Linked DNA regions of Macaca fascicularis. The protein of the gene in region 3 binds, or shares a complex with, the protein of the main gene of each other region. Links are inferred from orthologs where the notes say so. Each region holds a gene or a part of one and is shown on either strand. Other genes may lie near its edges. The genes, in order: NIFK, PPP1CC and MKI67.

Region 1 (10,038 bases), on a different chromosome or scaffold from region 3:
GAAGTGAATAGAGACACTACCGGGTCAGCCTCATCAGCTGTGAACTTGGGTACCCAAGACGGCCACATGCCACCATGTGCACAGGGAGGCCAGAAACTTCACTTTGGCTCCCAAGGGCAGCAGGATCTGGACAGGGATGCTCTCTGCATCCTATGGACTGCAGGGTAGGGGCTGCGCTGGCTCCTTTCTGCAGAGTAGGAACTGTGCTAGCTCCTTTCTGTAGGACGAACCTGCACTGGCTGCTTTCTGCAAGACGCACTACTCACCTCGTGCTATCGCTCCTCCACTCCCTCTGGCTTCTCTCGTGTGGAAGCGCTGCAGCCACTGCCATTTAGACAGATTTTGCAATGCGATTCCTGACCTTTGATGCTATCCCCACTGCCCTCATGATAAATTCTGAACTGGCTGACTTAGAAGGCCCTCGGTAACCTGACCTGAAGCTTCTTCCTGCTCCCTCCTCTCTTGCTACTTTTCCTCACATTCTCTCACAGCCGAATGGTTAGGCACCTTTGGCTTGGCATTCACTGCTCCTCAGCCAAGGGACTCCTGTCCCCTTCACCTGGCTCGCTCCTGTTTAGTCTTCAGGTTTCAATGTCAATGCTGCTTCCTCAGAGAAGCCTTTCACAGCCCATAAGGATGGTTAGCTGCTCCTCCCGTGTGTCCCCAAGGTAACTTGTTCGGTTCCATTGAGGGTAAAAACAGCTCTCAGGCTGGGAGATTTTAAAATTCCAATTAGAATCTGCCTGCAACATACACTGAAGTCCTTGCACCATTCTGTAAGAGTCATCCCAGAGATGAAGTGGCATGTCCAAGCAGCTGGGCACGCCGCCCTTCCCACCAGTCACCCACCAGCAGCAGGCACCAGGCAACCCTGCAGTAAGACAGGGGCACTTACACTCCAGGAGTCTTTCACCAAACAGGTAGTTGTTCATTGTTTCAGCAACTATCTTGGCAACATCCTCAGACTCAAACTCCACAAATGCATAGCCTTTGCTATTTCCAGTCTGCAACAGAGAAGTCGCCACAAAAAGTAGAACAATCAAATTTGAATGCATCATCAAATTCCTAAAATGCCATTATTTTAAATAATGTATATTAGCTCCTTATCAAATATTACCACACACTTAATTCTAACTTCAATTCACATATTCTGGGGACTGTTATGGGAAAAAGAAAAGATGCAAGAATCTGGACGCACAGCTGATTTTGTGGTATTCTTGGGATTTTGGTTATATGTGATAAATACACAGTTCCTATGGCTGGAATTTATTCAGTAACAACACCCCATGGTATAAAAAAAGTCTTCAACTTAAAAGCCACATGGCTTAACAGTGGGAATCAAGAGGCTCATTTCTAGCACCAGTTGTGTCAGTAACGAGCAACTTGGACACTTCCACAACTGAGTCTCAGCTTAATTATCTTCAACAGGGGGATTCTTGGAAAAATTTAAATCCCTCAAAATCCATTTATAATCTCAACACTCAAAAGGGAGGAGAAGGCCAGGCGTGGCGACTCACGCCTGTAATCCTAGCACTTTGGGAGGTTGAGGAGGGTGGATCACCTGAGGTCAGGAGTTCAAGACCAGCCTGGTCAACATGGTGAAACCCCATCTCCCCTAAAAACACAAAAAATTCACTTTGGGAGGCCGAGGCGGGTGGATCTCGAGGTCCGGGGTTCGAGACCAGCCTGGCCAACACAGTGAAACACCATCTCTACTAAAGATACAAAAAATTAGCTGGGCATGGTGACATGCATCTGTAATCCCAGCTACTCGGGAGGCTGAGCTGGGAGAATCACTTGAACCTGAGAGGCAGAGGTTGTAGTGAGCTGAGATTGTGCTACTGCACTCCAGCCTGGGCGACAGAGCAAGATTCCATCTCAAAAAAGAAAAACTAGGCCAAGCGAGGTGGCTCATGCCTATAATCCCAGCACTTTGTGAGGCCGAGGTGGGTGGATCATCTGAGGTCAGGAGTTAGAGACCAGCCTGGCCAAAATGGTGAAACCCTATCTCTACTAAAATACAAAAATTAGGCCGGGCACAGTGGCTCACATCTGTAATCCCTGCACTTTGGGAGGCTGAGGCAGGAGGATCACCTGAGGTCGGGAGTTCGAAACCATCCTGACCAATATGGTGAAACCCCATCTCTACTAAATATACAAAAATTAGCCAGGGGTGGTGGTGTGCGCCTGTAATCCCAGCTATTCAGGAGACTGAGGCAGGAGATTCGCTTGAACCCAAGAGGCTGAGGGTGCAGTGAGCCAAGATCGCGCCACTGCACTCCAGCCTGGGCAACAGAGTGAGACTCCGTTTCGGGGAGGGGGGGGGAAGGCCAGCACGGTGGCTCACGCTTGTAACCCCAGCACTTTGGGAGGCCAAGGCGGGAGGATCATGAGGTCAGGAGATCGAGACCATCCTGGCTAACACAGTGAAACCCCCTCTCTACTAAAAAAGTACCAAAAAAAAAAAAAATTAGCCAGGTGTGGTGGTGGGCGCCTGTGGTCCCAACTACTCGGGAGGCTGAGGCAGGAGAATGGCGTGAACCCGAGAGGCAGAGCTTGCAGTGAGCCGAGATCACACCACTGCACTCCAGCCTGGGTGACAGAGCGAGACTCTGTCTCAAAAAAAAAAAAAAAAAGTTAGCCAGGCATGGTGGCGGGCACCTATAATCCCAGCTAGTCTGGAGGAGGGCAGGAGAATCGCTTGAACCTGGGAGGCAGAGGTCACAGTCAGCTGAGGAACTGTGCTACTGCACTCCAGCCCGGGCGACAGAGCGAGACTCCGTCTCAAACAAAACAAAACAACAACCAAAAAAACCCTGAATAGAATGAAATAGAAAATCAGCAAATCACACAAAACAAGTTTAAATATTGTCTCATATGGCTTTTATTTCAGTTATGCTTACATGTATGTGTATGTGTGCTGGTTTGTGCTATGAAACTTTTTTTGAAAACCCTCATCTTCTCTGTGATGGTAAAAACTTACTTCTTATTGTGAGCCAGTCTGCAAAATGCTCTTCTAGAAAAATCTGTCTATACCTGCACAAAGATTGTTCCTAGCAGCTTCATGTAAAGAGTTAAAAATAGTAAAAAACCTAATGTTCAGGCTAGGCACAGTGGCTCGCTCACACTTGTAATTCCAGCACCTTCGGAGGCCGAGGTGGGCGGATCACCTGAGGTCAGGAGTTTGAGACCAGCCTGGCCAAAACATGGTGAAACACGGTTTCTACTGAAAATATAAAAATTAGCCAGGTGCAGTGGCCAGTACCTGTAATCTCAGCCACTTAGGAGGATGAGGCAGGAGAATCACTTGAATGTGGAGGCAGAGGTTGCAGTGAGCTGAGATCGTACCACTGCACTACAGCTGCCTGGTGACAAGAGTGAGATTGTCTCAAAAAAAAAAAAAACCCCAAAACAAAACCTAATGTTCAATAGGAGCGTGGATAAACTTTAGTTACCTAAGTAACAAGCAATGATGATAACAAAGGCACTAGAGTTACACGGATAAAGCTCAGATTATTGAGTAAAAAAATTCAGCTGAAGAATGATAGAAATAATTTTAAAATAATACTATATGTACATTTATATATGTACACACGTGTTGTAGCACATATATATATAGATACAGTAAAAACTTATAAACATATATAGCAATGAAAACTGAATTTGTGGCCAGGAGCGATGGCTCACGCCTGTAATCCCAGCACTCTGGGTGGCTGAGGTGGGAGGATCACAAGGTCAGGAGTTCGAGAACAGCCTGGCCAACTAATGAAACCCCGTCTCTACTAAAAACACAAAAAAAATGTAGCCAGGTGTGGTGGCAGGTGCCTATAATCCCAGCTACTTGGGAGGGTGAGGCAAGGAGAATCGCTTGAACCTGGGAGGCGGAGGTCGCAGTGAGCTGAGATCGCACCACTGCACTCCAGTGCAAGCTTCTGTCTCAAAAAAAAGAAAACGGAATTTGTGAATTTAATTCCCTAATTAAAGGAGAAGGTGAAGAACACTGGGAAGGGTACAAAAGGGACCTCAATTCTACCTATAATCTGTATCTTTAGGACAACTAACAGATGATGGATGCACACCCTATCCCCTAGATGCTAAATCAAATAGGTGCCTATGGCTACAACCCAAGTTTATGTGCCGGGATTCTATGTTTCAGATTCTAAACCTCCACTCTTCTTTTTGGAATGAAATCTGATAAGAGTATGTGAACGTGCTCTTTAATGTCAAGAATCACACACATTTGAAAAACAAAACGTCAAATCCAACTTTAAAAATCTTACCCTTTTACTTCTGGACAGTCTGAATCGTGTCACAGTGCCAAACTGGGAGAAATACGAAAAGATCTGGGTTTCGTTAAGTAGGTTAGGTAGGTGGCCCACATAGACTACTCCAGAAGTAAGTCGTTCTTGTTTTTTCCGCTGAAGACATAAAGACCAGGTAAATTAAATATTTTTTAAAATAAGAAAATCACATTGTAACAAAACTTACAAAACCCCTAGCCCTAGGCCCAAGAACCTACTCCGCATTTCCACTTACCACAGTAGTAATTAAAGAAGTGGCTGTTGAGTGTCTCTCTCCCCACAAAGGCCATGGCCAAGCAGTAATCAACTATCTTTCCAGCCTGGCATCCCAGCACCCAGTATAATGTTAGTGCTCAATAACTATGTCAATCAACGGATAAGCAAGGACATCTTCGAACAAGCCATTTTGGATCTTCTGCCCAGAGAACTCTACATAAATATAGCCTTCAATTTTGTATGCATATTACTGTTTACTCGCATTTCATCGAAAAATTTTCGAGACGCTTGCTAACTCTCACAATACAGATTAGCCTTTCAGCGTCTCAACCATCATACCCTTACCTCTGTAACAAGAACTTCTAAGTTTTCCTGTGTAGTTTATGCTAAAAACCACAGAAAGTATAAGCGATGTCAGGGGCCCTGGTCAGCAAGCGGAACCTGGCAACTACTCTATTTTAATAACTCCCAGATCACCAACCCGGCATACAAACCTCCCGAATGTGTTAAGTCTGGGGCCCCCGTTTTCGGGGGGAACGCGGAAGCGTGACAGGTCTAACCCGGAGACAACCTGTGGTATGGGAACCTATTCCCTCCAGGTGGTTCCCTCCGCGGCTTCCGTCACCCCAATACTTCCCCCTTACCCTCCACATGAAGGCTCCAAGGCCTCAGCGGCCAAACCTCTCCATCATTTACCCACCAGCGTAAACCCTTTAGTCTCAGAAACCGTGGCCTGCAAGCTTAAGAGGTGGGTCCCTGATTCGGTCAAATCCGCTAAGGATACTCTGGAAGGCGTGCGCGAAGGCAAGGGGAGTCCGGGCGGGGAACCGCGCAACCCCGGATACCCCCTAGACCCTGTCCGTCGCCCCCGCTCGCAGCCTGGACCAGGGTGCCTGCTCACCTGGGTTATGCGCTTGCGAACCTGCGCCACCTCCTTTTGAAACTCGGCATCTTCCTGCGGGTTAAGCGACAGGATCGGCCCAGCTGGGCCAGAAAAAGCCGCCATGCCAAAAGCGGCCAACACTAACTCCACGCGGCGCTCCCGGAAACGACGGGCTCCCAGCTCCCCTGAGGCGGAAGTAGAGGCAGGACAGGGGCGTGGCGAAGCGCGGAGGCGAGGCGTGGCGAGGGGTGGGGAGGGCCATGAGTCGCGCGCGGGGTTGGAGCAGGAGTAGCACGGAGAAGCGGGGGTGGGGCACGAGGCGCGGGGCGCGGGACGCGGGACGGGGCATAAATTGTGCCGTGGTGCGAGGGCGGGGCACGAGGCCTGGCGAGGGGCGGGGAGAGGCATGAGTCGCGCGGAGGCGCGGCACCGGGCGTGAGTTGTGCCGAGGCGGGGGTGGGGAGTGGGGCGGGACGGGGGTGGGGTGGGGACAGGGGTGGGGGTGGAGACGGGGGGGGGTGGACAGAGCGGTGCGGGGCAGGGGGGCCCCGGGGCGGGGGGGAGTGGGGTCTGGGGCTGGGCTGGGGATAGTTTCCGCGCCCTCCGCTGTAGGGGCGCCGATTGGCTTGGCTTAAGAGTGCCTGAAACAATTACCTTCACGCCTACTTAGAAAGGCGGTCTACAATTATAAAACAGTACTGGTGCCCGAGATGCTGCTCACATTCCTCAATTTGCTTATTATTATTTTCGAAACAGTTTCCGCTCTGGTTGCCCCAGCTGCAGTGAAATGGCTCAATCTGAGCTGACTGCAACTTCTGCCTTCAGAGTTCAAGTGATTCTCCTGCCTCAGTCTCCCGAGTAGCTGGGATTACTGGCGCCCGCACCACGCCCCACTGGCTTATTTTTAGTAGAAATGGGGTTTCACCATGTTGGTCAGGCTGGTCTCGAAGTCCTGACCTCAGGTGATCTACCCGCCTCAACCTCCCAAAGTGCTGGGATAACAGGTGTGAGCCACCGTGCCCAGCCCTAATTTGGTTATTTCACTCACTAGTGTGTGAGCCCCTCCTGTGTGGAGACCCCTAGAGAATTTACAGCCTGGGGCAGCATGGCTGCTTTGAGAGATGAAAGAACCTCGTGGGGGAGAGGCACACTGGGTGACGCAGGAGGGTCCCCCTTAGGAGGTGGTGTTGGCAGCGAAGCCTGAAGGCTAAGGAGCAGGGTCTGGAGAACTGAGGCCCTGCCATCTGCTGGATCAGACAGGCCTACACATGTGTTCCTAGGTATAGAAAGAAGGACCCAGCAGTGGGGTTGGAGCCCAGCGTAGGAGGGAAGAGCTGCGAGGGGGCAGGCTGGAGTCCCATGGCTCTGTGTGTCAAAGTATGAAACTGGGGTTTTGTTGTAAATGCGAGGGGGTGGTTGGGTTTTAAGCGAGGCTGTGGCTGTTTACACCTTTTTTGTCCAGAACTGGTGGATTCTTGGTCTCCCTGACTTCAGGAATGAAGCCACAGACCCTCGTGGTGAGTGTTACAGTTCTTAAAGATGGTGTGTCCAGAGTTTGTTCCTTCTGATGTTCGGACATGTTCAGAGTTTCTCCCTTCGGGTGGGTTTGTGGTCTCACTGGCTTCAGGAGTGAAGCTGCAGACCTTTGCGGTGTTACAGCTCTTAAAGGCAGTGCGTCTGGAGTCGTTCATCCCTCCTGGTGGGTTTGTGGTCTTGCTGGCTTCAGGAGCGAAGCTGCAAACCTTTGTGGTGAGTGTTACAGCTCATAAAGGCGGTGCACACCCAAAGAGTGAGCAGCAGCAAGATTTATTGCAAGAGCAAAAGAACAAAGCTTCCACAGCATAGAAGGGGACCTGAGCAAGTTGCCACTGCTAGTTGGAGCAGCCTTCTTTTATTTACTTATCTGACCCCACCCACATCCTGCTGATTGGTCCATTTTACAGAGAGCTAATTGGTCCGTTTTAACAGAGTGCTGATTGTTGTGTTTACAAACCTTGAGCTAGACACAGAGTGCTGATTGGTATATTTATAAGCTAGACATAAAAGTTCTCCAAGTCCCCACCAGACTCAGGAGCCCAGCTGGCTTCCCCTAGTGGATCCAGCACAGGGGGCACAGGCAGAGCTGCCCTCCAGTCCCGCTCCGCGTGCCTGCACTCCTCAGCCCTTGGGCGGGTAGATGGGAAGGGGCGCCACCCAGCAAGGGGCTGCACCCCTTGGGGAGGCTTGGGCTGCACGGGAGCCCACTGCGGGGCATGGCGGGCTGCAGGTCCCTGGCCCTGCCCCATGGGAGGCAGCTGAGGCCTGGCAAGAATTTGAGCACAGCGTGGGTGGGCTGGCACTGATGGGGAACCTGGCACACCCTCCGCAGCTGCTATCCTGGGTGCTAAGCCCCTCACTGCCGCTCCAGTGCAGGGCTGGCCCAGCCTGCACCCACTCAAAACTTGCGCTGGCCCACCAGCACTGCAGGCAGCCCCGGTTCCTGCTGCGCCTCTCCCTCCACGCCTCCCCTCAAGCAGAGGGAGCTGCTGGGACAGCACAGAGAGGGGCTCCCACAGTGGAGCCGCAGGCTGAAGGGCTCCTCCAGCGTGGCCAGAGCGGACGCCGAGGGCTGCTAGCACGCTGTCACCTCTGTCTTGTCTTTTTTTTTTTTTTGAGACGGAGTCTTGTGTTGCCCAGGCTGGAGTGTAATGGCACGATGTCGGCTCACTCACTGCAACCTCTGACTCCTGGGTTCAAGCGATTCTCCTGCCTCAGCCTCCTGACTAGCTAGGGCTACAGGTGCGCACCACTACTCTTGGCTAATTTTTGTATTTTTAGTAGAAACGAGGTTTCGCCATTTTGGCCAGGCTGGTCATGAACCCCAGACCTTAAGTGATCTACCCGCTTCGGTCTCCCAAAGTGCTGGGATTACTGGTGTGAGCCACCGCACCCGACCTGTTTGTACCTTTCAAATACTATTACACTAGTGAGTAACTGAGTGGAGAGGAAGAGTGGGGAGTGGATTGCCGAGGAAGCAGGGAGGTGAGGCGAGAGTGACAGATCAAGCACAGCTAGCGTCAGGGGATAGCACCCCCCTCTGGAAGCCCTGAGGGCAGCCCAGGGTGTGTGTGCCTGAAGAGTGGCCTGTGGGCCTGAGGTGGAGGCCCTGGGAGGGAGTGCCTAGCAGAGGCCAGCCCACTTCCTCTGACAGACACTTGCCTCCCTCACTCACAGCCTTCGCCTCCTTCACCCCGGCACCCTCCGGTTCAGCTCCACTGTCACCCCCAAGGGGGCATCCCTGAGGCTGTAGCAAAGTCAGCTCTTCCAGTTAAGCGCCCTCTTCCCATTGTGTTTTCTTTTTGTTTTTTTGAGACGGAGTCTCGCTCTGTCGCCCAGGCTGGAGTGCAGTGGCCGGATCTCAGCTCACTGCAAGCTCCACCTCCCGGGTTTACGCCATTCTCCTGCCTCAGCCTCCCGAGTAGCTGGGATTACAGGCGCCCACCACCTCGCCCGGCTAGTTTTTTGTATTTTCTAGTAGAGACGGGGTTTCACCGTGTTAGCCAGGATGGTCTCGATCTCCTGACGTCGTGATCCGCCGTCTCGGCCTTCCAAAGTGCTGGGATTATAGGCTTGAGCTACCACACCCGGCCTACCCCATTGTGTTTTCATGGCTAGGCTGGATTTTTGGGAGTGAGCGAGCAAGAGCAATTTGATTCTTTTTCAGGAGTGCCCCTTTCCATGGGCTTGTTCTTGCTGTCCCCGGGATGAAATCTTGGGGAGAGCTCTGCACTTGTGATGGCTCCTCAGATGTCAATTAACAGAAGCATTTCCACGCGTTCAAAATCTAGTATCAAATGTCTCCTCTCCCTGGCTCAGTGTCTCAGGCAGAGAAATCCCCAAAGGGGAGCACAGTCCACATCGTATTTGTTCTTGGCTCCACCTTCTCTCTACACCCCAGTTTCTTTTTTTGGCCTTTTCTAATCCCGGAAAGGCCAAAAAAAAAAAAAAAATGGAGAAAGGAGAAAGGGGCTCCTTGCTAGCGGGTGCCACGTGGCCAGGGAGCTTCAGAGGCGGCAAATGCCAGGGTGCTGGCACCTTCTCTCCAAGCACACATTTGAGGTGTCCCTTAGCCGGCCGCTCATGACTCTGCCTGCCTGCCAGAGCTTCTGCTTGTCGGCCAAGGTCAGCTCTGCGTCCAGAGGCTCCTGCTGGAGGGGCCTTTCCGACTGGACTTTATCATCCTGATCTTTTAAGAAGGGCCACGTCTTTTGTCTGTCACTGCCATGGGATTGCACTCTGCGTTGCTGCCAGGCAGACCTCCTGGCTGGCCTCATAGATGTCGGTGTATAAACCAGGTACAAGTCCCTGTATCCCCCAAATTCCAGAGGACGTAGACCAAATTCACTGGTTCCCTGAAGGTGTCATCTGTGTCCTCGTGTGTGTGTGTCTGTGTTTGTGTGAACCCTGTCCTCCTTCCTGAAGGTGACATCTTGACATGTCTCATAGCTACTAAGGGGAGAGGAGGATACGGGAAGGAATGACGGCAAACACATCTCTAGAGAAATCCTTTCTCAGGTTTTCCCAACCAACTCCACCTCCATGAGTGCCTGGCCTTGCCTTACATCCCCTCAGGTGGGTAGTGACCCAAGGCTTCTCAAA
Region 2 (9,273 bases), on a different chromosome or scaffold from region 3:
AGTGCTCTAGCAGGAGGCACAATGATCACACGGCAGTGGTGCCTCTCACAGGCACTACAGGGCATTTGTTTCCAACACTGCACAGACTCCACATGCTCCCACAGGCCTGATGTCACAGGGTGGTCACGTTCTCTCACCAGCACAGGCATCCACACATTCTGGAGTCAGAGTGCAGTTCTGACAGAAATATGCCACTATGCACTGTTTCTACAGGAAACTGATGTTCTGAGTTTAAAACCTACTCACATACCTTGCAAGAACAAATTTCTCTGGATTGGTTGAGGACTGTCCAATTGTCCAGATGCCTTTGTTTCCTGTACCTTACTAAGCACAATCTTTAAAAACCAACAGTTTGGCCAGGCGGGGTAGCTCACATCTGTAATCCCAGCTCTTTGGGAGGTCAAGGCGGGCAGATCATCTGAGGTTGGGAGTTTGAGACCAGCCTGACCAAGATGGAGAAATCCCTTCTTTACTAAAAATACAAAAATTAGCTGGGTGTGGTGGTGCATGCCTGTAATCCCAACTACTTGGGAGGCTGAGGCAGGAGAATCGCTTGAACCCAGGAGGCGGAGATTGTGGTGAGCCTTGATTGTGCCATTGCACTCCGGCCTGGGCAACAAGAGCGAAACTCCATCTCAAAAAACAAACCAAACCAAACCAAACCAAACCAAACCAAGAGTTTGTCCTTAGTCTCTTCCCGGGGACTACAGGGACATCGAAAGGTTTAAACCTGTACCTCTCCTTTGAGAGTTAGGGCCAGCCCAAACAACTGACCTGAACCACACTTCCCACCCTGTAATGCAAATCAAGCAGTCTAGGGAGTTTAGCACAGGGCTTGAAATGTAATGTAAATTCAACAAATGTTTGCCTTCTCTCTGCAGAGAAGAGTGTTATCTTTTCTCCTAGTAATTTCTGGTTTCTCAATGACTGGGTCTAACTCTGTGGGTCACCCTGTTGCGCATTTCTTTAGAGGCTACTAACTCCTTCACTGGAGGGGTTCTGAAAGTTCAACAAACTCCTCCCGCCAGGCTGAGGAGGCTGAGGCAGGAAAACTGCTTGAACCTGGGAGGCAGAGGTTGCAGTAAGCCAAGATCGCACCATTGCACTCCAGCCTGGGCAACAAGAGTGAATGAAACTCCATCTAAAAAAAAAAAAAAAAAAAAAAAACCAACAAACTCCTCCTTACGAAAGGCTGATGGGCAATCTGCAAAAACACCACCTCCCATGTCCAACAGCAATACTACTACTAACCACCACCACCACCACAAGATGAGTATCCTTAATCCAAGATGCTCCAAAATTTGAAACTTTTTGAGCACTCACATGATGCTCAAAGGAAATGCTCACTGGAGCATTCCGGATTTCAGATTTTTGGATTAGGGATGTTTAACCAGTAATTATAACACAAATATTCCAAAATTAAAACAAAACAAAACAAAACAAAACACAAAACTCTGAAACCTGCAACACTTCTAGTCCCAAGCATTCCAGGTAAGGAATACTTAACCTGTATTATAAGAACAGGGCTGCTGCCTTAGCCCCCCAGTGATAGTGACTTCCTCTTTCCCCAAGGTCAGCTTCACTTCTGGATATTTTTTTTTTTTGAGGTGGGGTCTCACTCCGTCACCCAGGTGGAGTAAAGCAATGTGATCTCGGCTCACTGCAACCACAGCCTCCCGAGTTCCAGGGATTCTTCTGCCTCAATCTCCTGAGTAGCTGGGACTACAGGTGTGCACCACCACACCTAATTTTTGTATTTTTAGTAGAGATGGGTTTTCACCATGTTGGTCAGACTGGTCTTGAACTCCTGACCTCAAGTGATCCACCCACCTTGGCCTCCCAAAGTACTGGGATTACAGGCATGAGCTACCATGCCCGGCCTTTGATTCTTTAGTTATGCCACAAACTCCAGTTTCTTCTCTTGCCGATTTCTGCTGGCCTCTCCATGAAAAATCAGTTTGCTTCCTCCTTTTGCCTCTCAGCACTTGAAGCGTGGGGCTGTCTCTTTCTCTTCTCTCTTCATATCCTCCCTAAGGCCACCTCAAACCACTAGGAACATCTGGGTCCTAAAAGGTTTAACCAGGGAAATCGTCTAGCTTCCAAATCCTAAGATTCTGAGCCATAACCTGTAATGCAGTTTCCCATTACTGTACATCAGACAGCTCCGATAGCAGAAATGGATCAACAAACACTCCTGTTTTACCCAACAACATATACCTCAGCCTTTTCATCACATTTGCAAAATTTAAACAAACAAACAAAAAAGAAATGGTAGTATAAAGTACTTATGTACCTGGAAAACAGGCAGTGGTTTTAAAATTGTCCCATGAAAATCAACATTTGAATACAACTTTTCATTTTAATAAAATTAATATATATAATATATATACTAAATGTCTGCAAGCCTTCAACCAGAAGCCACCTATGTCAAGGGCACTTTTATGCCCACAAGTAGACTGGATGGCAAATTGTATCTGCCTGATGGGAGAGAGGATGCTTGATCTATAAACTGTGTTGATGATCAAACAGGAGTCGAAACTGATACCAACCGACACTGATCTTCTAAGTCATTTTAAAGGCCTCTGCATTGAGTAGAAACTGAAACTGATGCAGCTAGTATCATTACGTTAGGATAGAAGTCACAACAATGAGGTCAAATGGATTTGAATTCATCAGTGCAAACATGAAAAGTATTTACTGGGCTAACAGTTATGTAAAAGGAACCCTTTCTTAACTCAAGAGTAACACTTGGAATAAGTATCCAAAACACAATGTTGCCTGGGTGTGGTGGCCCATGCCTGTAATGCCAGCACTTAGGGAGGCTGAGGTGAAAGGATTGCTTGAGCCCAGAAATTACAGGTTGTAGTAAGCTATGATCCTACCTCTGCACTCCAGCTTAAGGCTCTGTCTCAAAAACAAAAAACAACAACAAAAAAAACCCACCACATCTGCCTTGTATTTCACTACCTAAGGAGTAGTAACTGGCTTACTGGTACTTCTTTGACACAGAATCCCTGTTAATATCGAATATCTTTCCTGTACAGGTTCAATGGTATCAGTCAGTCCAGAACCCACAGAATTTTTGTCCCTGATCATTCCTGCCACCTCATCTTACCAGCTGGATCTCAAGGACACAGACCAAGCAAACATCCAGTAGTGGGAAAGGGTGGTAGTAGAAGGGCTCAGTCTGTGAATATAATCTTTCTAGGATGCACTTCTAACAAATGTGCTAGCTCACTGCATCTATGTGAACTGAGATGGAAAAACACACATCTGGAGACTCTAAGTTAGGATGTGGTCTAGGGGAGGGCCACAGGGACAACACTTTGCTGATCTCCCTATAATCATATTAGCAAATGCCAACTACCTGAAGTTCCTTAACCACCCCACCCCTTCACTCCAAACCTGAAACCCCTCCTGGCAGAAATAAGCACAAAAGGAAGGTGAAGGTAAAGATTCAAAACCTTTTCTGACGTAAAACCCTTTATCAAACTGATTATTTTCAAAGTTTTTTTTTTTTGATACGGAGTCTCACTCTGCCACCCAGGCTGGAGTACAGTGGTGTGATCTCGACTCACTGAACCCGACTCCCGGGTTCAAGCGATTCTCCTGCCTCAGTCTCCCAAGTAGCTGGGACTACAGGCATCTGACACCACGCCTGGCTAATTTTTGTATTTTTAGTAGAGACAGGGTTTCGTCATGTTGGCCAGGATGGTCTCGATCTCTTGACCTCATGATCCACCTGCCGTGGCCTCCCAAAGTGTTGGGATTACAGGCGTGAGCCACTGCGCCCAGCCTATTTGCAAAGCTTTAAGAACTGTGTTTTGTCAATAGTCAAATCAAAGTGCACCTTTAAATAAACAATCCAAAATGAGTCACAAAATGCGTAAAATACTGTAAAAATAATCTTTGTTCAGCACATTTTAGTTTTAGGAAAGTTATTGCCATTCTTCCTGGGTGCGGTTATGCCAGAGGAGAAAAACCATAATAATTTCAAAAACTAATTATTTACACATTGCCAAGATTCCATTTGCATGCAATGTTCTCTAGCAGACAAAAAGTAGATTAGTGGTTGCCTGGGGGCTACGGTGAGATGGTCGCGTTAACTATAAATTTACTACAAATCACTGAATTGTATACTTTCAACAGATTAATTTTATGGAATGAAATTACATAATAAAGTTGCTTAAAACTATTTAGAATGGTTCTCAGATTTCTACCAAGAATTAAGTTATCTGTGAATACAACAATTTACATCTTAAAGAAACCACTACCATGATCATTATTTCCTAATCTGATCATCACATCATAAAAGAATCCAAGACCTTATTTTATTATAGCGGCAGTGTTCTTTTTCTACCCAAGAGAGAAAAAACTGGCTGGGCGCCATGGCTCACACGAGTAATCCCAGGACTTTTGAGTGGCCTAGGTGGGCAGATTCCTTGAGTCCACGAGTTTCAGATCAGCTTGGGCAACAAGGTGAAACCCCATCTCTTCAAAAAAATACATGAATTAGCTGAGCGTGGTGATGCATGTCTGCAGTCCTAGCTACCTGGGAGGCTGAGGCAGGAGGATCGCTTGAGCCTGGGAGGCAGAGGTTACAATGAGGTTAAGATGGTGCTACTGCACTCCAGCCTGGGCTGTTAACAGAGTGAGACTCTGTTCCCCCACCTCCCCTAAAAAGCTAAGTTAAAAACAAGTTGATGAAATAGAAAACATGAGAGATGATACCACTGCATCTAAACTCTCACAATTCCTAACAGAAGTACGTGATAATTGTTTATGATAAATATCTTAATTTCAATAACTTCCTGAGATATAGAAAAGTACTTACATTCATCATAAAATCCATAAATTCTGTTGATGCTGGCACATTCATGGTTCCCTCTGAGAAGAAAAAAATTCTCAGGATATTTGATTTTGTAGGCCAGTAAGAGGCAGATCGTCTCCAATGACTGCTTTCCCCTGTCCACATAGTCCCCAAGAAACAGGTAGTTGCTTTCTGGCGGGAAACCACCGTACTCAAAAAGTCGCAGCAAATCATAGTATTGCCCATGGATGTCACCTAGAAGCAAGAATTTTGTTACACAGTGTTCCCATACTTACAGCTCAATCCACTAACAAAGCTTTAGAAAGAAATTCTTTAAAAATTCATTGTACAATGGCATTGACCTCTAGTAATGAGAGTTTAATTGGACAGCCAACACTAAGTAATTTCCAAACTGGCATCATATTTAGTTCAATTGAACTTAATAAAATTTTTAAGTATATGTGTATGTCCAGAACCTCACACAAAATTCAACTAATTAAGAATTTATTCTGTGGAAAGGGTTATTATGTCCAGGCATGCCTTCTTGCCAAGTAACATGGTATTCCTTTCAGGATGACTGATCAATATCAGATCCCTGATAGCTCAGTCTCTAGGTACTGTGTCAGCAGAACTGCTGCACTTTTAGCGAGCCTTGGCCCAGTCTGAGCAAAGCACATACACACATACACACGACCCCCACCCCCCACCCATCAATGCATTTAGCTTTCAATTTCTCCCTGCTAGATAATGCCAAAGAACATTTTACTTTTAAAAACATGAACACAGGCCGGGCGCGGTGGCTCAAGCCCGTAATCCCAGCACTTTGGGAGGCCGAGACGGGCGGATCACGAGGTCAGGAGATTGAGACCATCTACACGGTGAAACCCCATCTCTACTAAAAAAATACAAAAAAATGGACGGGCGCGGTGGCTCAAGCCTATAATCCCAGCACTTTGGGAGGCCGAGACAGGCGGATCACGAGGTCAGGAGATCGAGACCATCCTGGTTAATACGGTGAAACCCCGTCTCTACTAAAAAGTACAAAAAACTAGCCGGGCGAGGTGGCGGGCGCCTGTAGTCCCAGCTACTTGGGAGGCTGAGGCAGGAGAATGGCGTGAACCCGGGAGGTGGAGCTTGCAGTGAGCTGAGATCTGGCCACTGCACTCCAGCCTGGGCGACAGAGCAAGACTCCGTCTCAAAAAAAAAAAAAAAAGAATACAAAGTTTTATCAATGCAAATATGCTATAAGAATATATTACGCAAATGAAAACAGTTTAGTTTTACATTGAGTTAAAACACAAATTATCTGCTTCCATTATGCAGAAAACAGAACCACAAAATCAACATCAAGGAAGTTCTACTTTTAGTTATAAACAGTGTTGCTTTAAACTTAAAACATATTCCTATACATCTATGTAGTTCAGACCTTTCCTTGGCTCTCCATTCTTAGTTTCATTTTTTCTTCTGCAATGTTTATTCCTTCAGCAAAATATTTTTTTAAAAAATCTGAAGTATCTCTAAGTAAACTAAGTCCATTAGAGGTATTTATTCTAAAGCTACTATTTAACTTAATTTTTAGTAGTTCCAAGCTATTCACAAACAGGAGAATGATTCTGCTAGCTAATACAAGGTCATCAACATATTCTTGACTCAGTTAATCAATCACGTAACCAAAGATAACTTGTGTGCCCCAAACTTACCACATATTTTGAGTGGTGCTTCAAGTTCTAGTAGGATAGGCTGACTGAGAAAGATTTCACGAGATTTTAAACACAGTCCTCTGATTTCATTCTCCTGGAGCTGGACGTTCTTACCAGGCTTGGACCCTCTCACTGCAGAGGAGAAAAACCACAATTAGTCTAATGAAGCCAAAATACAAAATACAATACAAGATTTAGATAAATGGGCAAAAACATGGTTTAACTAGCTTTCTCTGAGTGGCTTCATTTTCAGGACACTTATAATAAACATGGTTTTATTTATTTTTATTATTATTATTTTTTGAGACGGAGTCTCGCTCTGTCGCCCAGGCTGGAGTGCAGTGGCTGGATCTCAGCTCACTGCAAGCTCCGCCTCCCAGGTTTACGCCATTCTCCTGCCTCAGCCTCCCAAGTAGCTGGGACTACAGGCGCCCGCCACCTCGCCCGGCTAGTTTTTTGTATTTTTAGTAGAGATGGGGTTTCACCGTGTTAGCCAGGATGGTCTCTATCTCCTGACCTCGTGATCCGCCTGTCTCGGCCTCCCAAAGTGCTGGGATTACAGGCTTGAGCCACCGCGCCCGGCCTAAACATGGTTTTAATGTCTAATTAGAATCTTAAAATATTAGACAAGATTTAATTGTATCTTCGATATCAAGTAAGACTTCTTTTTTTTTTTTTTTTTTGAGACGGAGTCTCACTCTGTCGCCCAGGCTGGAGTGCAGTGGCCGGATCTCAGCTCACTGCAAGCTCCGCCTCCCGGGTTCACGCCATTCTCCTGCCTCAGCCTCCCCAGTAGCTGGGACTACAGGCGCCCGCCACCTCGCCCGGCTAGTTTTTTGTATTTCTTAGTAGAGACGGGGTTTCATCGTGTCAGCCAGGATGGTCTCGATCTCCTGACCTCGTGATCCGCCCGCCTCGGCCTCCCAAAGTGCTGGGATTACAGGCTTGAGCCACCGCGCCCGGCCAAGACTTCTTTTATAGTATTCCAAAAAAAGGGGCCATCCTGTCTCTGCGAATGCTATTAGAAACAGGACTGGAGGCCGGGCACAGTGGCTCACACCTGTAATCCCAGCACATTGGGAGGCCGAGGCGGGCGGATAATGAGGTCAAGAGATCGAGACCATACTGGCCAACACGGCGTGCACCTGTAATCCCAGCTACTCGGGAGGCTGAGGCAGGAGAATTGCTTCAACTGGGAGGCGGAGGTTGCAGTGAGCCAAGATTGCGCCACTGCACTCCAGTCTGGTGACACAGAGAGACTCTGTCTCAAAAAAAAAAAAAAAAAAAAAAAAAAAAAAAAAAAAAAAAAGAAAAGAAACAGGATTGGAAATCCTCAGAACCTTCCCCATCAGTGTTTTTCAGAGGACCATGGGACCATGGGTATTTCCTCCTGAGAATCTCTGATTTAATTTACCTATGAAAAAATGTTTGTGTTGTTTTCATTTCATTACGAAAATGTTGGCTGGGCGCGGTGATTCATGCCTGTAATCCCAGCCCTTTGGGAGCCTGAGGCGGGTGGATCGCCTGAGGTTGGAGTTCGAGACCAGCTTGGCTAGCATGGTGAAACCCCGTCTCTACTAAAAAATACAAAAATTGGCCGGGCGCGGTGGCTCAAGCCTGTAATCCCAGCACTTTGGGAGGCCGAGACGGGCAGATCACGAGGTCAGGAGATCGAGACCATCCTGGCTAACCTGGTGAAACCCCGTCTCTACTAAAAAATACAAAAAACTAGCCGGGCGAGGTGGCGGGCGCCTGTAGTCCCAGCTACTTGGGAGGCTGAGGCAGGAGAATGGCGTAAACCTGGGAGGCGGAGCTTGCAGTGAGCTGAGATCCGGCCACTGCACTCCAGCCTGGGTGACAGAGCGAGACTCTGTCTCAAAAAAAAAAAAACAAAAAAAAACCACAAAAATTAGTCGGGAGTGGTGGCACATGCGTGTAATTCCAGCTACTCGGGAAGCTGAGGCAGGAGAATCGCTTGAACCAGGGAGGCAGAGGTTGCGGTGAGCGGAGATTGCGCCATTGCACTCCAGCCTGGGCAACAGAGCAAGACTCCATCTCAAAAAAAAAAAGAAAATGTTGGTTCGTTGTACTTATTTTGCCATGCAATTTCTGGGCCTGCATTTGTGTTTATGCTCACGTCTGTAGCAAAGGATGTCAGTCATGTGCTATACTGTAAGAAAGCACGTTTCCTAATAATTTGAACAGATAAGGTAATAATGGGAGAAAGAAATCACTGCACAGCATGGGGCATCCACACCACCAGAGCACTTAGGGTTCTTCTACCAAAGTACAAACTTTGCAACAGAGCTCACTTGTCAGCAGGTAGGTAGTTGTGGGAAAGAAATTTTCTGTTTTTGTTCCAGTCATAACAGATTGGACAGTCATTAGATACAGATAAAGTAGCACTAAACTGCTAAATGTACCTTAATTTTACAGTTATAAAGTTCACTTTTGGACCCCAAAATATGTAACTAAGTCTCATTCTGATAAAAATGTTATACAACAAGAAGCAATAAAAGCATAGTAATGATAGTCTTCGAGGAAAGATATGAAACAGATGCATATTTAATAAAACAGCAACTGAGCAACAAATAATGTTTTTTCCATAAGTGATTTTCTTTTTCTCTCTAGACATACATAACAGAGTTAGGACTCAAGAAATACTCCCTGTGAAAGATGGGATCCCTGCTTCATTGGCCAGAAAATGCCAATCATTAGTGATTTCACCACAAGTTAACCAAAAACTTGGGCACAATGCCCAGC
Region 3 (9,998 bases):
TCTTTCTCACGTTGTGAAGTCATATACTTTAGGGTAAATAAAGAGCTACGCTTACACTACAGGGTAACTACAAAGCTGTATCTTAGAACACTATGATCACTTCAGTTTCCCACATACTCAGTCTGTATCTGAACAAGACAGGTACGTCTTAGGAAGATCACATTTAGCAAGATACATAATTATCCTGGCAAGCTTCAGTGATCAAGTCATAGAAGCAATCCTTTATTCTGCATAATGAAAACTTTTTGGCCTCGGTGAAATGACCTGATTTGAATTTATAGGCAACCTAAGTAAGATCTGAAGCAGTCAGACATCTGAAATTGTTTCCATGGTACAGAGTTCGGAATCAAGTCTCCCTTTCTAAGATTCACTTTCTAATCTTTGTTGGATGGGTTTAATCATCTGAATTTATCTCAATTTGGATAATATCTTGTTTTGGAAAAATAGTTCAGCTCTCCAATACACATCAAAAGTTTCCTACCTACAGGCGGGGCGTGGTGGCTCATGCCTGTAATCTCAGCACTTTGGGAGGCTGAAGAGAGTGGATCACTTGAGGTCAATAGTTCGAGACCAGCCTGGCCATCATGGTGAAATGCCATCTCTATTAAAAATTACGAAAATTGGCCGGGCGCGGTGGCTCAAGCCTGTAATCCCAGCACTTTGGGAGGCCGAGACGGGTGGATCACGAGGTCAGGAGATCGAGACCATCCTGGCTAACACCGTGAAACCCCGTCTCTACTAAAAATACAAAAAACTAGCCGGGCGAGGTGGCGGGCGCCTGTAGTCCCAGCTACTCCGGAGGCTGAGGCAGGAGAATGGCGTAAACCCGGGAGGCGGAGCTTGCAGTGAGCTGAGATCCGGCCACTGCACTCCAGCCCAGGCTACAGAGCAAGACTCCGTCTCAAAAAAAAAAAAAAAATTACGAAAATTAGCTGGGCGTTGTGGTGCGCGCCTGTAATCCCAGCTACTTGGGAGGCTGAGGCACAAGAATCACTTGAACCCGGAAGGCGGAGGTTGCAGTGAGCCAAGATCACACCACTGCACTCCAGCCTGGGTGACAGAGAAAGACTCTGTCTCAAAAACAAACAAACAAAACTTCCTACATAGAAGTCTGTATTAAATAAAAATACTCTTTAAAAATGAGGGCAAACTTCCAAGAAGCACAGTAAAATAAATGACCAGAGAATTTAAGTGGTGCATTAAAAAAATAACTATCTAATACAAATGAAGACAATAACAGAGACAGAGATCCATTTAGCAAAATGGATTTTTAAATGACCCAAATAATATGTTGTCTACAAGAGACACAATTTTGATTCAAAGACACAATCCTTTAAAATAAAAGCATGAGAAAAGATATACCATGCAAACAGCAAGCAGAGGGGAACTGGAGTGCTATACTAACATGACACAAAATCACCTCAGACAAAAATTATTCATAGAGAAAAAGGACATTTTACATAAGGATCAATCCAGCAAGAAGATATTCCAGTTAAACACGAGAGTTCATCTGACAATAGGTTCCAAGAGACAACTTAAAATAAACCATAAAAATTATGAAAAGTTAAAATTAAGGGGGTGGAAAAAGTTACACTACACAAGCACTGACCAAAAGGAAATTAGTTTAGCCATATTCATCATCCAAAGGAAACATTAAGCAGAAAAGAAAGCATTGCTAAAAATAGAGGACATCTCTAAATGACAAAGAGTTCCATGCACCAAGAAGATATAATTGTAAGTTTGTACACCATAGTACAGCCTCAAAATATACAAAGCAAAAACTGACAAGAGATCAAAACAAATCAATCAATCAATCCCCAGTAGGTGATTTGAACATATCTCTTAGAATAGTAGGGAAAAATTTATTAGAATATAGAAGATTTGAATCTAACGGGAGTGTGTGTATCTGTGTGTGTGTGTGTGTGTGTATATATATACACACACGTATATAAATAAAATATCTGAGGCACTGTAGAATAGTTTTCAATTACACAAGGCAGATTAGTAAAATAATTAACCGTATCTGCTCATAAAGCAAACCCTGACACATTTCAAAGACTGGACATTAGTCAAATGTCCATCAAGAATAAATGAACTCTGTATAGTTATGTATATTATTGTATATATTAAACATATTTTTTTCAGTGAAATACTTATGCCATGAGAAGGAACAAACTACAGAGATGCCCAACATGCTATGAATCTCACACACATAAAAGCACAAGCCAGGCACAAATGTATACATTCTTATATCACTGTTAAGGATTTTCATAAGAACAGACAAAACTGTAGTGTGTTCAGAGATCCATGCTTAGGCAGTGAAACTCGAGACATTTGATATCCTGAAAGCCAAAACGGTGGTCTACTTGCTGAGGGAAGGAAGTCGTGATTAGAAAACAGCATTTTAAAATGCTTCTGGAAATGTTCTATATAAGCTGGTGGTATATTAGTCTGCTAGGGCCACCATAATAAAGTCCCACAGACTGAACGCCTTGAACAACAGACATGCCCTTCTCAGTGCTGGAGGCCAGAAGTCCAAGAGCAAGGTGTCAGCTGGATTGGACTTCTCTGTGCCTCTCTCCTTGACTTGCAGATGGCTGCCTTCTTGCTGCCTCTTCTCGTGGGCTTTCCTGTGCATGTGTTCCCTAATCTCCTCTCATAATGACACCAATCATCAGATTAGGGCCCATACTAATGGCCTCAAAAAGCCTTCATTGCCTTTTTAAATGCCCTCTTTCCAAATACAGCCTAAGGTACGAGGGGTTAAGAATTCAAAATATAAATTTTGGGAGAGCACAAATCAGTCCTATTACAATAGGTAGTGATCAAAAGGGTATTCACATGATAAATTGACCTGTCTATCTTGTTTTGTACCTTTTTCTCTGAGTGTATTTTGCTTTAAAATAAAAAAGAATAGAAAAATCTCATGCAGTTTCACAACACTTGGAAGAAAATAACAAACTCCTTTAGGACAAGGTCAACCTTCCTCTGCATAATTATTTGCACCCAAATCCTTGAATTCCATCACATTTTGTCCCAATTAGTCAGCTTTCTAGATCCATATCCTCTTAAATTAAGATTAGTGTTGAGAATGAAAACCTGAAATACTTTGACATCCATGAACATTAAAGAAGAATGACAGTTGACTACGACACTAATTTACAGTTAATCAGAAGATGACATTTACTGTTAGACCAATCAGCTTTTGCCTACCTGAAAGATCGATCAATAATGGTTATTACATCTCCATGTTTTAGCTGTACAGGCTCATCAATAACAGACCCATTTACTTGTGTTGGATTTGTGGAACTGAAATTATGTAATATTGCCTGCAAGTGAAAAAAAGGGGAAAATATGTAACTAATGAACAGATTGAAAGTGAACTAAAAGCTTTAAAAGTAGATCTCCAGAAAACCACTCACCTCCTGCTCAATGATTTCAATTTTGCAATGTTGTTTTGACACAACAGGAAGCTGGATACGGATGTCACATTCAATACCCCTTCATGCGAAAGAAGAAGGATTTTTTGGTTGTTGTAACTTTTTAAAACATTACCTCAGTTTCCCAAAATAAAACACAATTTGACTAGAATGTTTGATCTGTAAACATAATTGACATAAAGGAGTAACAAAATGGGCAATGTAAACGATCTTGCATTTTGCAAAGAACTTTTGGAAGTATTAATCATGTAACTATTAGATCTTTAAAACAGAGTACATGAAAATAAGGGAAGACACTAGAATACAAATTGAATTACCTTTTATATAAAAAGCTATACTTAAAAGACACAAATAAAGGAGTACTTACATCAATTTTGGAAAATGACTATTTTTAATACTCTGTGCTTTCTCAAAAACGTTTGTTTGTAATGTTAAATATGTTTAGAGGTTTAATCATCCCCAAATGTGCTTATTTTATGCTAGCACTTTTGTGCATCAGTTTCTTCATATACAATAGAGTACATCATGTGATGTTCAAACAATTAAATGGATGTACATGTCACTAATTTGCCTAGCACATAGTAAATGCTCATTATGGGTGAGCTTTTCATTGTTGTTTTAAAACTACACTGAATTTACGGACAGACTCAAAAGTCTCTAAATAAAAATACTAACTTGTGCGCAACAAAAAAAAATCTAAATTCAACTTGTTTTTCCACAGAAAGCTAACACCACAGCAAAGTAGCGGAAGAGACAATTCCTAAACCTACACAAACTAATAATCAGAACAGTTCATTAGTAGGTTCCTAGAGTCTTCAGTGTGCCTGTTCTAGCCCGTGATCTTAAAAATTTGAACAAATTATGCAATGCCCTGTCTGTTCTCCATCCGAACCTTTGGAGTCTAAGAATCTCTCTTCCTACCCAGGTCATGTGACCAAACACTTAGGAATTAGTTTCTAAATTATAAAATCTTGCATGAAAATACATTCAAGGACTACTGTATGAAAAGCAAAAGGACTGCCACTTGAGATGAAATGTTTATATTTTTCCTTTTCAAGAGAAAGGTATCCATGGAAAGTGAAAAGCTACCTTAACCCCAAATAAAATAATTTGACTTTAAGGTAACAGGACATCTGAGCAAAGGAGAGACTATCCCCTACAACTGAGAATTTGTTTGGCAGGAGGACGACTATGGGTGGATGGGTGTTTCTGAGCTTTGGCACTGTTGACATCTTGGGTCAGATGCTTCTGTATTGTGGGGGCTGCCCTGAGCCTGGTAGGTTGTCCACCCTGACCTCTCCTTTGCGATGACGGCACATGTCCCCTTCCTGTATTGTGACATGGAAATTCAAATGACTCCTGGAAGGTAAGATGACCCTCCTGTGAGAACCACTGCTCTTAAGCGATTGCAAATCGGTGGCTCCAGCCGGTGTTTCTACTGACCCTTGCCAGAATGCTAGGTATTGATCACACCCCCTGTGTAGTAACAAGACAGTCCTTGCCTTTGGGGAGCTCAGCCTAGTGGGAAACAAACCCACAACTCACCCATGAAGCTGTGGGATGGGAAACACAAATTTTCATGCAAGGCTTCCTCGGAGGTGACATTTCACCTGATGCCTGAATGATGGAAATCACACAAGTTTGGGGAAGGGGAGAACTTTCCCATCATAAACTTCCAAGTGTGTAAGAAGTACCAAGGTGAACAAGGGCTTGGAATGCCTTAGGCAGGAGGAACAAGGTAGGGATGGGGTTGGGAGGATGGGGTGAGGCCAGGATGGGATTCAGGGCCCAGACCACACAGGAAGTGACCCCTTCTCAGACCTCTAGTGGGACACATGTCAGAGGCTGATAGGGGCATTGTTAGCATTTTGCCTGTTATACAGGGACTGTGTTATTACCACCACCAAATGGGACAGCAACATAAGAGAAAATGTTCTCAAACTCCAAGCAGGAAGACTTTCTGTCCCATTTTCCTATTGCCGCCAAGAGGCAAGTGTATGGCTTCCTTCCTCCATTCTCTTAGGGTCCCCAGTGGCCAGTGATGTCCAGTGTGGAGGGACCCGGGGGCGCACAGTGTCTTCAGACGCCTGCCTGAAGCCAGTGAGGTATGAAGATTATCTATATCTTTCTTTATCGTAAGATTAGAAAATCGATTTTTTAAATTGGCTTGATTTTTGAAAACACCTATACAAACACTAGCATCAAATTTATATTTGGCAAAACAAAACACAACTATGTCAACTTAGTAACGAATGGGAGAAGCACCAAGGAAAAGTGACAGCAGGACCCAATCCTAGAGCGCGTTTCTGGACCGTGTACTGTGACTAAGATATTTTCCTCTTTCTCAGCTGAAATGTCCGCGCGCGCCCGCGGGGCTCACCTTCCAAACAAGCAGGTACTGAGGCTCAGGGGAAAGTGGGGACCGTCGACCCCGCTCCTTTTGATAGTAACCAGGCGTCTCGTGGGCCCCATTTTCTAAACAAGAAGTTGAGTATAATCCGTAGGGGAAGGCCAGGTACCGAAAGGTTTGCAGAAGCAAATTTACAACTCTTCCACTGCAAAAGAGGTGCGGGTTACTCTGATAGCAAAGGAGCTAAGAAGAGCCGCGTGCTCAGTCCACCTATCCCCGGCCACACAGGCGCACACCGCAGCTAGCCAGCGGGGACCCCAGCACAACCCGACCGCAGCCCCTGGCGCCCCAAAGTCCCGCGGCCGGAGTGCTGTCGCCAGCGCCTGCACCTCCCGGGAGCTTCCACCCAGACGCCCTCGCCAGAGCCCAGGAGCAGTCGGGCCCAGGCCGCGCGTCCGTCCCCGCAGAGCTCGGGGTTCCCCGCGGCTCAGCCCTCGACCCCGGACAGCTCCCAGGCGTCCCGGCCGCAGCTCACCTGGGACGATTCGGCCCCCAAGGCCACTTGTCAAACCACCGCTCGTCAAGTTGCACCCAAAGTCCGCCGCAGGAGGAGCCGGCGCCGCGCTCACCTTCGCCTGGTAAGCTGCGCCCGCCACGCGCCGCACACACCCGGCCGCAGCCCGCCGGGCCGCGCTCGCTCCGCCCCGGCCTGCGGTCCCCGCTGCTCCCGCCGCCGCCCCTGACGGGGACCCGGTGGCCCTACAGGTTACGTCCCCGGGCGCCCGGCTCTAGGGGCTCCCGCCGAGTCCTCCCGCCCGCCCGCTGCGTCCGCCCGCCACTTCCTTCCTCCAAACCGGCGCGCCCGCCCAATTCAAACGAAAACGGAGATTCAAATTCTGGCGCTAAGCGCTGCGATTGAACGGGAAAGCGCGGCATGGAACCAATAGGAAGGGCGCCAGGGAGTGGGCGGGGAGGGGAGGCGGAAACGGGGCTCCTGGGGCGGGGCTGGCGTGTCCGCGGGCGAGCCATTCATTCATCCGGAGGAAAATACCTGGGTGCAGCCCGGGCGAGGGCGACTGGCGGAGGGCAGAGGTGGAACACGCTCCCACCGAGATAACCCGTCCTGCCATCCTTTTCTTAAAGGACCAAACACCTGGGAAACTATAACGTTACTCATTGCCAGGAGATTTAAAACTGTTAAAAATTGCAAACAGGCGGGACACGGTGGCTCACGCCGGTAATCCCCGCACTTTGGGAAGCTGAAGCAGGAGGATCCCTTGAGCCCGGGAATTCAGAATCAGCCTGGGGCACCTGGAGAGAACCAATCTCTAAAAAAAATTAGCTAGGCATGGTGGCGCGCCTGTAGTTCTAGCTACTGGGACAGTTGAGGTGGGACGATCACTTGAGCCAGGGCGGTCGAGGCTGCAGTGGGCTGAGATGGCGCCACTGCACTCCAGCCTGTCTCAGAAAAAAAAAAAAAAAAAAAAAAAAAAAAAATTGAACCCTTCCTCTTCAGTGCATACATCTTACCAAACACAACCAATTATATGGTTTGGTGTGTTTGGTGTGTCTTTTCCAGCTATACGTGTATTCTCTTTTTCAAAAGCACAGAAAAAAGATCATAACATACACAACACGGTTCTATATTTTGTGTTCTCTGCTTTTAAATATCCTGAGGCTATCTCCACCCAGTACATTCTCGCTTTTACTCTCTGTTTGATGGCTGCAGAGCACTGGGCTTCGGGAAACCATAATTTACTTAATCTTTACTATTGCCACATATTTAGGTTTAAAACGTTTTGTTATTAGAAAACATTCTTCAATTAAAATGCCTTGTGCATGCCAAGATGGGTGAATCCTAAAATAATTATACACAGGATTCTATCAGGGTCTGCTTCAGTTGCGCTGGTGGCCATGTGGGCTCAGTGGGCCACCTGGGGTGAAGTAAATGGAGCCCAACCATGGTTTTGGTGACACCCTCCCTGCAGCCCCATCTCACCTCCTCCAGCTCCCCAGCAACCCTTGGAGCTTGGCTTCCTTGATCAGGAGCAAGCATTCTCACTGTTTGGAGGGGACCCCTAAGGGCTTCCTATTCCTTTCAGGGCGGTCCATGAGATCAAAACCATGTCTCTAATGGCCCTCAGTGTTACTTGTCCTTCTTATTCTCATGCTCCCAAGAGTGTGGGATGCGGTTCTGCAAATACAGAAGCAGTGAGGAGACTCCCACTGTCTCCGTTTCAACCAGGCACTACAGAGATTTGCAAAAATGTGAAATAAAGTGCTGTTTTCATTTTGTTGTTGTTTTGGATAATGCAGATTTTTTTCCATAAAGGTAAGTTATTGGTGTTAGCATCAAACAGGTGCACTATCTTAAAACGAATCAATAAATGAATATTTTTAAATTCCTTAGCCTTAAAATATATAAATATAGCTAGATATAACCCATCCACATTCACAAAACTTCCTGGTGGTTCTCAATCATTCTTAAGAGTGTAAAGAGACCACAAGATTGAAAAGACTGAGCCCTGTGCTCTAGAGCAACTACAAAGATATCAGCTGCTGATGGAAACAGAGAAACTGGGAAAGCAACATAAAAGCATAGGACAGCAACTCTAAATTGTATGGGCCAAGTCTCATGTAGAAAAATTCAATGCAGGGAAACTATTACATAAACGTTTTAGGGGGCATGAGTTTCCATGTTCTTTCCATTAAACGATCAAACAAAGCTCACCACTGCATAACCCCATAAAATACAACTTTTCACATCCTAATTACTGCTTGTTTCCAGGGACAGTTCTTCCACCCTCATGGATGCAGCCTAATTAGAACTAGAAGGTACTAGGCCAGGTGCAGTGGCGCATGCTTGTAATCCCAACATTTTGGGAGGCCAAGGTGGGTGGATCACTTAAGGCCAGAAGTTCAAAACCTGCCTGGCCAACATGGTGAAACCCCGTCTCTACTGAAAATGCAAAAATTAGCCCAGTATGGTGGTGTGCACCTGTAATCCAAGCTACTCGAGAGGTTAAGTCAGGAGAATCTCTTGAACCCAGGAGACAGAGGTTGCAGTGAGCCAAGATCACACCACTGCACTCCAGCCTGAGCGACAGAGTGAGACTCTGCCTCAAAACAGAACTAGGAGATGCTAGAATATCTGTCCGATAATCCAAACACTAGTGAACACAGAGTACCAATTCTCAAGAGACAGCAGGAAATTAAAGGAAAGATACAGGGGAATGGTCAGAGTGGTGGATCTTAGATCCAAAGGAGAGCCTGTCTTTAAACTGTTTTATGATAGACTTTTGCAGTGGGGCTTTCTGTTGAATTTTAAACTTGGCCCAAAGCCTAAGACTTCATAATAAACGCAGATCTCTGGACTGTGAGAAGAGCCCTATGCCTCCCGTTCCCAGGCTGGCCTCTGGCCCTGTGTCTCCATCCAGTGTGATCAGCGTCTCTAATGGGGTGTGGAACAAAAGCTTGTGGCTAGAGCACCAGAGACCCAAGATGTGCAGGAAGAGACTTTCCAGGGGTTATGTGGATCTGGGGAGTCTCAGGGAATCCATTTCCAGATCCTCACAGTTCACACTCTCTCATGTCCAAAATCAGTCAGCCAGAGGACAGGTCTCCAAAGGAGTCCATGCCCCAGGGTCCTTCTCACCCTTCTTACTCCCAAGCTGCAGATCTCATCTGCCTGAAACTTACAATGCACATTGCCCCAGGCAACCAATAACGGAAATATCCAACAATTCCCTTAACTGTGTCCATCCATCTGATTAGAGTATATACTTACAATAAAATTTGATCTTATGTTTCATAAAAATGTAATTTGAAACATTGCAAACATGAATTTAAAAATATTCATTTATTGATCCATTTTAAGATAGTGATAGTGTTGTTTCATCAACTGTTTTAGTAAGTATGTATATAAATACCTGTGTAATATGTATGTGTATGTATACATAAAAAAGAAGAGACGCTAGGCAAGGTGGCTCACGCCTGTAATCCCAGCACTTTGGGAGGCCCAGGCAGGAGTTGAGGCCAGGAGTTGGAGATCAGCCTGGGCAACATAGCAAGACCCTCCATCTCTACGAAAAATTAAAAAAACAATTAGCCAGGCTGGTGGCGTGGGCCTGTAGTCCCAACTCTCTAGGAGGCTGAGGCAGAAGGATTGCCTGAGCACAGGAAGTGGAGGCTGCAGTGAGCTGAGATTG

What was found.
Region 1: the proteins of MKI67 (region 3) and NIFK are in contact, whole or in part, in an NMR structure (PDB 2AFF), measured with the Homo sapiens proteins. The link is inferred for Macaca fascicularis from reciprocal best matches to the Homo sapiens genes MKI67 and NIFK. Residues at the interface, in NP_002408.3 of Homo sapiens: Thr9, Ile10, Lys11, Arg12, Ser13, Pro18, His19, Phe20, Pro21, Ser23, Leu24, Arg31, Gly32, Ile33, Glu34, Cys35, Asp36, Ile37, Arg38, Ile39, Gln40, Leu41, Pro42, Val43, Val44, Ser45, Lys46, Thr66, Asn67, Ile91; in NP_115766.3 of Homo sapiens: Val228, Asp229, Ser230, Gln231, Gly232, Pro233, Thr234, Pro235, Val236, Cys237, Phe241, Leu242, Arg245, Gln248, Val249, Leu252, Asp256, Lys257, Asp259, Glu260, Ile261, Val262, Phe263, Lys264, Gln265, Pro266, Ile267.
Region 2: the proteins of MKI67 (region 3) and PPP1CC are in contact, whole or in part, in a crystal structure (PDB 5J28), measured with the Homo sapiens proteins. The link is inferred for Macaca fascicularis from reciprocal best matches to the Homo sapiens genes MKI67 and PPP1CC. Residues at the interface, in NP_002408.3 of Homo sapiens: Arg504, Arg505, Val506, Ser507, Phe508, Gly509, His511, Leu512, Arg513, Pro514, Glu515, Leu516, Phe517, Asp518, Glu519, Asn520, Leu521, Pro522, Pro523, Asn524, Pro526, Leu527, Gly530, Glu531, Ala532, Pro533, Lys535; in NP_002701.1 of Homo sapiens: Val19, Arg20, Gly21, Ser22, Lys23, Pro24, Lys60, Tyr70, Asp71, Leu73, Arg74, Glu77, Tyr78, Lys168, Ile169, Asp242, Leu243, Tyr255, Phe257, Arg261, Pro270, Asn271, Ser284, Asp286, Thr288, Leu289, Met290, Cys291, Ser292, Phe293.

The regions. Positions count from the first base shown.
Region 1 is NC_088386.1:9,999,780-10,009,817, reverse strand, and holds the start of NIFK (MKI67 FHA domain-interacting nucleolar phosphoprotein), read right to left. Parts: upstream 5,542-10,038; 5' UTR 5,524-5,541; coding exon 5,419-5,523; intron 4,419-5,418; coding exon 4,281-4,418; intron 1,005-4,280; coding exon 896-1,004; intron 711-895; exon of another isoform or gene 508-710; intron 1-507.
Region 2 is NC_088385.1:117,608,294-117,617,566, forward strand, and holds part of PPP1CC (serine/threonine-protein phosphatase PP1-gamma catalytic subunit), read right to left. Parts: intron 6,643-9,273; coding exon 6,511-6,642; intron 5,066-6,510; coding exon 4,835-5,065; intron 1-4,834. UniProt on the Homo sapiens protein: Protein phosphatase that associates with over 200 regulatory proteins to form highly specific holoenzymes which dephosphorylate hundreds of biological targets.
Region 3 is NC_088383.1:137,084,818-137,094,815, forward strand, and holds the start of MKI67 (proliferation marker protein Ki-67), read right to left. Parts: upstream 6,617-9,998; 5' UTR 6,326-6,616; intron 5,996-6,325; 5' UTR 5,913-5,995; coding exon 5,821-5,912; intron 3,502-5,820; coding exon 3,423-3,501; intron 3,330-3,422; coding exon 3,214-3,329; intron 1-3,213. UniProt on the Homo sapiens protein: Protein that associates with the surface of mitotic chromosomes and acts both as a chromosome repellent during early mitosis and chromosome attractant during late mitosis.